Ovis aries: one gene and its partner. The protein of the gene in region 1 purifies or fractionates together with the protein of each later gene. This does not show direct contact. Links are inferred from orthologs where the notes say so. Each region holds a gene or a part of one and is shown in the gene's direction. Other genes may lie near its edges.

Region 1 (3,801 bases):
GTCAGTGCTGACACAAAGAATTGGCTTTGCATTCTTACCTTTAATGAACACATTTTTACTTAAACTAAACCATCATATTTTCTTTGAAGTTACCCTAACTAGTAAAAATTTTTTCTAAAGGCTGTGATGCATAGAAGGGAGTTTGGTTTTCCTAAATACATAGTTTAGGTAACCCTAAACTATAAAACAAAGGTGAGAGATCTTGAGTGGGGAGGCCCAAGGAACAAAGTGAGGAGCAAAGTGGCTTCTGTAATCAGCTGAGAGAGATTGTGGTCATTTGGCCCTGAAGATAGAGCCCTGACCTTGCCACACACCTTATCCAGCCCCTTACTGAAGCCTTGATACCATCTGGGCCCATAGGACACTGCGCCAGCTCCAGGGCAGTAGCATGGTGAGGTTAGCCAGATGATGGCCTTGAGCTGCTGTGTGTGTGTCTGTGTGTGTGTGTGTGTGTGAGATAGAGAGAGATTGAATTATTTCTGTCTGTGCTTTTAAGTTGCTTTTTCAGGAAAACCTAGTGACTGTTACAAAAGTAAATTTAAACTGATTAGATTTTGATACAGTATGTATGTTATTTGAATAAAATGCTAGTCTGGTTGGTAAGCAGTAACTTGACTTTTTTTTTTTTTTTCCAAGAAGTGGATGGATTAAATGGAGTCAAATATAGAGATGGGTTAGGCATTGAGCATCAAGAAAGCTGTTGATGAGCTGAAAGTTGATGAGGCATAGAAGAGCAATGAAGACCACCACACACGTCAATTATACACACTCCTTTTTATTTCACTTTAGTTTCCACTGGCTCCCTTGCTCAGCAGTATGCGCACCCTAATGCTACCCTGCACCCACATACTCCACATCCTCAGCCTTCAGCTACGCCCACCGGACAGCAGCAAAGCCAACATGGTGGGAGCCATCCCGCACCCAGTCCTGTTCAGGTAGGACACTCGGGGGGGCCTTCACCAGAACTGCTGCATCCTTCTGCTTACTGAGTGTTTCTCCCAATGCCGTGCGAGATGCTAGGCACCACGTGACCAAAACACCTAGCAGCCCTGCCTCACCTAGGAGCCAGCGTATAGCTCTGCAGGCTGTGCCCCCAGGTTTAATCACCTTAAGGTACATACTGAGAATAAGGTGGTTGGGTAAGTTCTGAAAACTTTACCAATATAGAAAAATTTAACATAAAGTAAGGAATTTCGCTTGGAACTTTTTAAAACTCTCATTTCTAATGTTTATGTGATACGATTTTGTTTGTTTGTTTTCCTATTAGTTTCTTTAGCCATGCTTTTTAAGAAGGCACTTAAGGAGCTCTGGCATCTGGAGCTGTTTGCTCCAGTTCCCTGGAGCAGTATTCTTGGTTCCCACTGTTTGGTTAAGGGCTTGCAGTCTGACAATCAGGCTTGTATCCCAGAAAAGAATGTCTCTTAATCTGTACTCTTTGCTGTCACTTTGCAGCACCATCAGCACCAGGCCGCCCAGGCTCTCCATCTGGCCAGTCCACAGCAGCAGTCTGCCATTTACCACGCGGGGCTTGCGCCAACCCCACCTTCCATGACACCTGCCTCCAATACACAGTCTCCACAGAATAGTTTCCCAGCAGCACAGCAGACCGTCTTTACCATTCATCCTTCTCATGTTCAGCCGGCTTACACCAATCCACCCCACATGGCCCATGTACCTCAGGTAAACCTGCTTTAGCCAACTTTTTGTGAAGACCAACTAGGATATGAAAGTTATCAGATAAGCAGCAAAGAGCCAGATGCTCTTCAAGCTAGGAACCCCTGTGTGTGATGCCATCTGCTTGTCTCTTCTTTCCCACTCAAATACATGTGATCTGGCCTTAAATGAATGTTTGTGTGGTTTTGTAATGGAATCAGTGAAGTTGCTGATTGGTCAGTCTTTTGACATTTCCCAGCTGAGGCCTTAAAAATACCTTTGACTCTGGAATGCAACCTAGTTCTTTCCTTACTGTGTCTGCATTGCTCTGTTTCTGTTTATATAGCTTTCTCGTTGCTATATATACACGTATATGTACACATATTCCCCCCACACCCCTTACACACACACACAGGTCTGGCAAAGAAGATGGGATTTCACAAATTCTCAACTCTGAGATGACTGCCCTGGGACTGTCCACTTGAATGTTAAGTCACCTGAGTTCCTAAGAAATCTCTCCATTTGTTTCCCTGGCAATTCCTAAATCTGCTTTGACCATACGTTGTACTTCTTGAAAGGGCTTGGCCTTGTACATTGGTGCTGTGTGATTTGAAGCTGGAAGCGCCCAGGTGTTCCTATTTTTCTTAAAGAGCAGATCTGGAAGCACTTGGGGCTCACCTCTAGCGTAAGTTTCTAAAGGTTGAAAGGTGTGTTTGCTGCTGACTAAAGTCCAGTGCGATCCAGGGCCAATTTGAATTGTCTTAATGAGGAGAAGGAGCTGCACTGAAGTTGGACTTTTAACACTGTCCTTTGAGGCCCTCCCTGGGGCTGTTAAGGGTGGATCGGCTGTATTTGATGTCTCTTTTTGCTGCTTTCATAACAGAACTCTCTTAGGCAGGTCTCAGCTTAAACTGCCTCACTGAATTCCGTTTCATGTCAAGCAGTGCACCCCTGAGGCTCTGGCGTGGTGGGGCTGGAGATGCTGCTCAGTTGGAACTAACTCTCAGAAGGCGACCTTATAACTAGAGTTCCACAGCTCTGGGAAGTCTGGGCATCCTCCCCAGCAAACGGGCAGGTTCTGTAGTGTGGCGCACTGCAGTGGATGAGTTGCTTTTGATGGTGGGGAGGGGAGCTGGTTTGGTCAAGTGTGGGACAGCATGGTTTGGCTGAATCAGGAGCTTCATGAGACCTGGGGGCCGGTAGATGTCTAGCAGAGGCTGGTAGCTACGTAGTTATGTGAATTTATATGTAAGTTGGGGTTCCTAAAACCTCACTTTTGTGTTTTTGTGCTGAAAGAACAAAAAGGTTAACATCTGCAGGGAAGTCCAGATGTGCCCTGGGTCTACTTGAACGTGTTAGAGTCAAAACAGGGTTTCCTTCAAGGCTTATCATGGTCCAGAACAGTGCATAGTATTGCAGGAGGAATTGAGGACTCGTCCTCCTCGCTCTGCAAATCCTTGCAGAGCTGGGGTCCAGCTCTTTGGGCTACACCCTTTCCAACTTGACAGGGAGACGTGGTTGAACTCACTATCACTTGATACAGGGACACTGGGTTGGCCCAGATGATTTCAGAATACCCCTCCCCACCTCACTGGAGCCATTCACTGCAACTCCTCCTGCTGCTGCCTTATCGGCGGATCTTTCAGCAGCGCAAAGGGGCCTGAGAGTCTTTCTCACTGCCTTGACTCATTCTTCACTGAGGTGTGCCGATGAGCAGGGGAGGAGCAAAGAGAATATAGAACAGGAGTTAACAGTTCCCACTTATAATGTAATAATCTGCTTTATCTGAAAGGGATGATTCAGGCCCCACATAGTAGCCAGAGTCTAGAAGCATCATTGCATGTAGCCTCCTATTAGTTTGAGAAAGCTGTACTTGGATCAGGGATCGTCTTACCTTTGTGAAGACCTTGCCCCATACATAGAATCCAGTCATCAGAAATGCTGACGCCTAGGACATGGCAGCCCTGACTTTTACCAAGGCTTGTTGGTTGCCTGCCCCCTCAGCCTTGCAGAATCTGCCAAAAGGTGAAGCGTGTCTATAGGTCAACTAATGGATCCACTAGGGAATGTCCCCAGAGGAAAGAAAGGGCCCTGAGGGCCCACTGTTGCCCTTTCCTGAGAGCCCCAACCCAGTGAAAGGAACACAGT
Region 2 (4,958 bases), on another chromosome or scaffold:
TTTTTCAATTGCCCCAAGGAAAAAATTCACATTTTCTAAGTCTTTTGAAAGTTTGCTTGTGCTCAAGCTAAGATAACCTTTATCAGTCCAGTCCCACACTCAGTTTAATGATATATTTCTAAGCTACTTTATGCTCCCCGGAATCACCAAGCTCTTTCCTTTTATGGGTCCTGGCATCTGCAGTTCCCTCTTGCTGGTACCTGGCCAATCTCCCTGCTTGTCCATCAGGTCTCAGATTTTTCACTTCTTCCGGAAAGCTTTTCCTAACAGTGCCTGGCTCTGTGCCTGAGAACCTATAATCACAATGTTACATGAAAAGTTGAGTGGCAGTTACATATGACTTGTTATGGGGGAGACATGAAACTTCTCTGAAATAAGCCCAAATATACTTATTTCTGTTACAATGATTGTAGTAATATGAAGTTGATGTCCCTTGCAAGGAATGAAAACACTTTTGAAATTTGTTCATGTTAAATAGTGCCAGGACTGGTCCTTTGCCATCTTCTCTGCCTGTTGTTACATGAGGCTCTAGAATTTCTATAGTGGAGGGTTAGTTGGGTTAGGGGTGGCGACTGTTGATATTAGGGTTGAAAATACACCTGCATCATACTTACATGTTAAGAAAACTGTTTTGTGTATTAGATAGTCGTTAATGGCGGGGGGCAAAACTCTTGCCCCAAGGCTTCCTTTGACACTACCACTGCTCCTCCTTCTGGCTCTGGAGAGGGCAAGAGGGGTGATGGGGAAGCATCTTGAGTTTCAACGGTAATGGGTGATCCTGGAGAAACTACCACGTAGTAACTACATGTCATGCATTTGTACACATTATTTCATTATCTTCCACTCCTCCTAACTTCTGTGTGAAGTGTTACCTAATACAGCATAAAAGTTAATAGCACCATTTTTGGATAACAGACTGAATCCTTGCTAGTTGTGCAACCCTGGCAAAGTTTTGTCTAAGACTTAGTTTGTTCATCTGTAAAATGAGGATATCAATTCCTACATCGAAGGGTTGTTGGATACTCAATAGATAGTACGGAAGGAATAAACAGAATCAGGCTTAGTAGTTTGCTCAAGGTCATGTAACTCAGTGGAATTCCGATTCTGGTTTAGCTAATTCTGTAGCCAGTGTCCTTTCCACTACCACTTTGTAATTAGGTGTAATCGTTTTGGGCAAGTTTGTTTAGTCTCCTGAACCTCGGATTCCTCATATGTAAAAGAGTTCATTCATTAAACTCGTGTCAAGGTGTGTACATAACGGAGACTGCAGTTCTCTCCTGTCTCCCCTTTTCATTCCACATAGGTCATTTACCTTTAACTTCTAAAATGGACCTTGCAAGCACTTTACTAAGCGGGCGCAGTTGCACAAACATAATTATTCAGATCCCTCTTTTATTTCCTCTCCTTTCCTCTTCCACCTAGGCTCCCGCCCCACCCAGTCCAGGCCACGCCCTGGCGTATGACGTCAGCACGCCCCGTGCGTCGCGGCGCGGCGCTCACTGGGGGCCCGGCTTTCGCCCGCTGCTGCCGCCGCCGCCGCCGGCCGCGGCTGCTCTCCCAAGATGGCGGCTCCTCCGGGCGAGTACTTCAGCGTTGGGAGCCAGGTGTCGTGCCGGACGTGCCAGGAGCAGCGGCTGCAGGGCGAGGTGGTAGCCTTCGACTACCAGTCCAAAATGCTGGCTTTAAGTATCCTTCCCTGCGTGGAGCCCGAGGCCGGGCCGGCGTGTATGTGCGGTGGTGGGGGGGCGGGGGACGACGGCGGTGGCTGGGGCCCTCTCCGGGCCTAGGGGCGACCGGCTACCGCGGCGTCCGGAGCGCATGCGCACGACCCTGAGCTCCCCTCCCCCTCTCCCTGGTCCCTTGGTCCGCCTTGGGGACCCTTGTCGCCCTCCCCTTGTGGGAGCTGGGCCGCGAACGAGGGTGGGTGGAGGGGGACTTGACACGCGGATGGCTTTTCGGGGGGAACGCTAGGAGAGGGCACCCAGTGATCAGGAGAGGGGTGGTCGTGGGAGAGGGCTGGTGATTGGAGCCCGGATGGAAGAGGGGCGGGTGGAATCAAGTAGGGAGGGGGTGTGTTGAGTAAGGAACTGCTAGTGAGTGGGACATGGGTATGGAGTTCAGGAGGGGTTGTCTACTGATAGGATGTGGTCCACGGAAGGGCGGTGGTGTTTGACCAAATGGGCCTCGCTTGTTTGGGGGAGAGTAATTGCAGGACAGAGTTTGTAGCAGAACTGGGTATAGGGGCTTGTTTTGCTGGTGCTTGTGTGTGCGTGGTGCCATTGGGGACGGGGTGCTGAATTGTAGGCTTCTCAGTCATTTGGAAGTTGCTCTTTTGGAGATGTTTGTCCTGGAAACCTGGTCCAGAGAGAGGACCACGTTTCTCAGGGGCTTGTGTATGGACGTGTGGGTTACAGGTGAAAGAGTAAGGTACCTTTTGCTCAGGCCAGCACATGGAATCCTGACTTCTCCACAGTAGTAGCCTTGCCTTTTAAATGTGGCAGTGTTAAACAGAATGGAAAAGGTGGCCTCTTTGGTGTGGAAATGATTTCTGAATTACTCCAGGAAGCTCAATCTTGGAAACAAAATACTTCCTGGTTGTAATACCACCTCCTCCTTATATTTGAGCCACAGGTGGACTTATTTGGATTTTTTTCTTTTTTTTAAGAGTTATCTTTTTGGCACCTTTCAAAAGGAAGTTTCTTACTGGGTCTGCTGCCTTTGACTGGCAAGTATTTTAACCAACTTCATTTAAACTTAACCACTTCATTTAAACACTAGTTGTAGATTTCTAGCTTAGGAAAATATCCTTTGAAACTAATTACAGCTCGAATAGTTGCGTTTTCTTGGTTTTGTTAAACACAAGAATTCGTACTTGGACTATATAAGATCTTTTGCATTAGTGGTTTAGTTGGAAGGGTTTTGGAATGAGGAATTACTCTTTCAATTGACATGCAGTATGCTTTTGAGAAATGGCTGGAGAATGAATGGATGGATGAGTGGGTTAACTAGCTGGGTCACCTTGAATGAGCTTCCTTTCCAGTGCTGTAGTTTTTGCCTCTGCAAAATGGAAAGTTTCAAATCAGAAAAAGTGAAAAGAGCTGTTCGGATATAGGAAGTATACCAAGAACAGAGGGTACTTGCTCTCCTGTGTGGTTCGTTAGGTTCAAGACAGACAGTATACATACAGCATTAAAACGACATTAAGCCTCTTCGTAAAACCAGTAGAGAGAAGGTGATGGAAACCCTGTTGAGGCTTCAAATTTTGAGTTGTGTTTGGCTTTGTAAAAGCTTGAGATCTAAAGATATGCTGAGAAGAGCTGTGATTCTTGTGGGACTCCCCCCTCTTGCTGGTGGCACACCTTTTACACAAGCCTTATGAGAACTGTGTTTCCCATGCCCCTTTGGGATGTGTCAGTGCTCTGCTTGCCCCTGTTTTCCTTAACTTTATTTTTTTTCACCAGAATGTCCCTCTTCCAGTGGAAAGCCCAACCACGCAGACATCTTGCTTATAAACTTACAGTATGTTTCAGAAGTGGAAATAATTAATGACCGAACAGAAACCCCTCCTCCCCTAGCTTCACTCAACGTTAGTAAGGTAAGGACTTGAGGGCAGTTCTGGGTCTCCAAAATGATGGGAAATTTGAGTCTCATTGACTCTTGATGGTACATATATTGTCCTTTTTTGTTTTTCTTTTTTTTCAGTGATTTACAATTGGCTTGTTTTGACATATTTAAATAAATATATATATATCTCACTGTAGTTTTTATCTCTTTGTTCCCTGATATCTTCCGAAGATTTTAAGAAATGTCTTGATGCCTGCTGATAGAGAAATAGAGTTGAGAGCTGGCTTTTGTTCTTTGTGAAAGAGAGCTCCCCCCTCACCCTTAACCTGTAGTCCATGTGTGAACTTCCAGTGTTGGTGGGGTTGGCTATGGACTTTCCTTCTGAACCTCTTGAAATTGTGTATGTGTGCGCACAAGAATATACATGTATTTCCTGGATGAAGATCTGGAGTATTTTTCAGATTCTCAGAGGGATTCATGACCTACAAAAATTTGAAAACTACTGCCGTAGAGCTTCATTTTTGTCTTTATGCTTGAATTTTGAAGTCTAACAAATTTAGAGGCTTAGGATATTTTAATCTCGGCTATATAAATTGGTCTCTGGGAACTTTCAGATAACTTTTCTGATTCTTCATTTCCATCAGCTGAAGTTCATGTTGATCAATATTGTACCCAAGCCCTGTTTGAGTTTTGCTGTTCTCTCTACTTGGAACACCTTCTCAGAATGACTAGAACCGTATCCATCAGAACTGTTTAATGGCACCTCTTTCAAGAAGTCTTCTCTGATCACCCAGGCTAAAGTGGTTGCCTCCATTATTTTCTCTTACAGTACTCTAGCCTTCAGAGATAAGGTGATGTATCATTTCCAGTCCAGTATGGGACATTTTTGAGAGTAGAAGAGGGCAGTGCTTTTGTTTTACACTGAGACAAGTTTAGATTGATGTATCCTGGGCAAATTGGGACTTGTCACCTATTCAAAGCCTTTTTGTGATTATAATTGTGTATACTTTTCTATCTCACCAAACTTTGTTTTGTGGGAATGGTAACTATACCTGTTTTGTTCCTCACTGAATATACAGAACCTTGCACAGAGTAGGTGCTTCATAAATATTTGTTGAATGAATAAGTTAGGCCTTCAGTTTTTGTAGCAGCTGTCTTTCATTAAGTCTGTTGAATTAGTGTGATGAAATTTTTCCCTCTATAAAAATTAGAATAATGTATATTCTTTTGCCCCACTTGGGAATGTAGTGTGTTTGCTACAATTCAGCAAAGCAAGGGAACACTCAGGCAGCTGAAACAACACAGGATAACTGAGGCTGGCAGTGTGTAGTTACCTCAAATCTGGAGCTCCCTTTTTCTGAATTCCAGGGAAATACCCCATGTGGTTTTTTTTT

Evidence for each region.
Region 2: the proteins of ATXN2 (region 1) and LSM12 purify together in Homo sapiens (affinity purification with mass spectrometry; 4 studies listed by BioGRID and IntAct, with this or other methods). This does not show direct contact. The link is inferred for Ovis aries from reciprocal best matches to the Homo sapiens genes ATXN2 and LSM12.

Annotation. Positions count from the first base shown.
Region 1 is NC_056070.1:55,207,617-55,211,417, reverse strand, and holds part of ATXN2 (ataxin-2), read left to right. Parts: intron 1-789; coding exon 790-935; intron 936-1,452; coding exon 1,453-1,680; intron 1,681-3,801. UniProt on the Homo sapiens protein: Involved in EGFR trafficking, acting as negative regulator of endocytic EGFR internalization at the plasma membrane.
Region 2 is NC_056064.1:43,641,995-43,646,952, reverse strand, and holds the start of LSM12 (protein LSM12), read left to right. Parts: upstream 1-1,498; 5' UTR 1,499-1,562; coding exon 1,563-1,686; intron 1,687-3,461; coding exon 3,462-3,595; intron 3,596-4,958. UniProt on the Homo sapiens protein: Nicotinic acid adenine dinucleotide phosphate (NAADP) binding protein. Confers NAADP sensitivity to the two pore channel complex (TPCs) by acting as TPC accessory protein necessary for NAADP-evoked Ca(2+) release.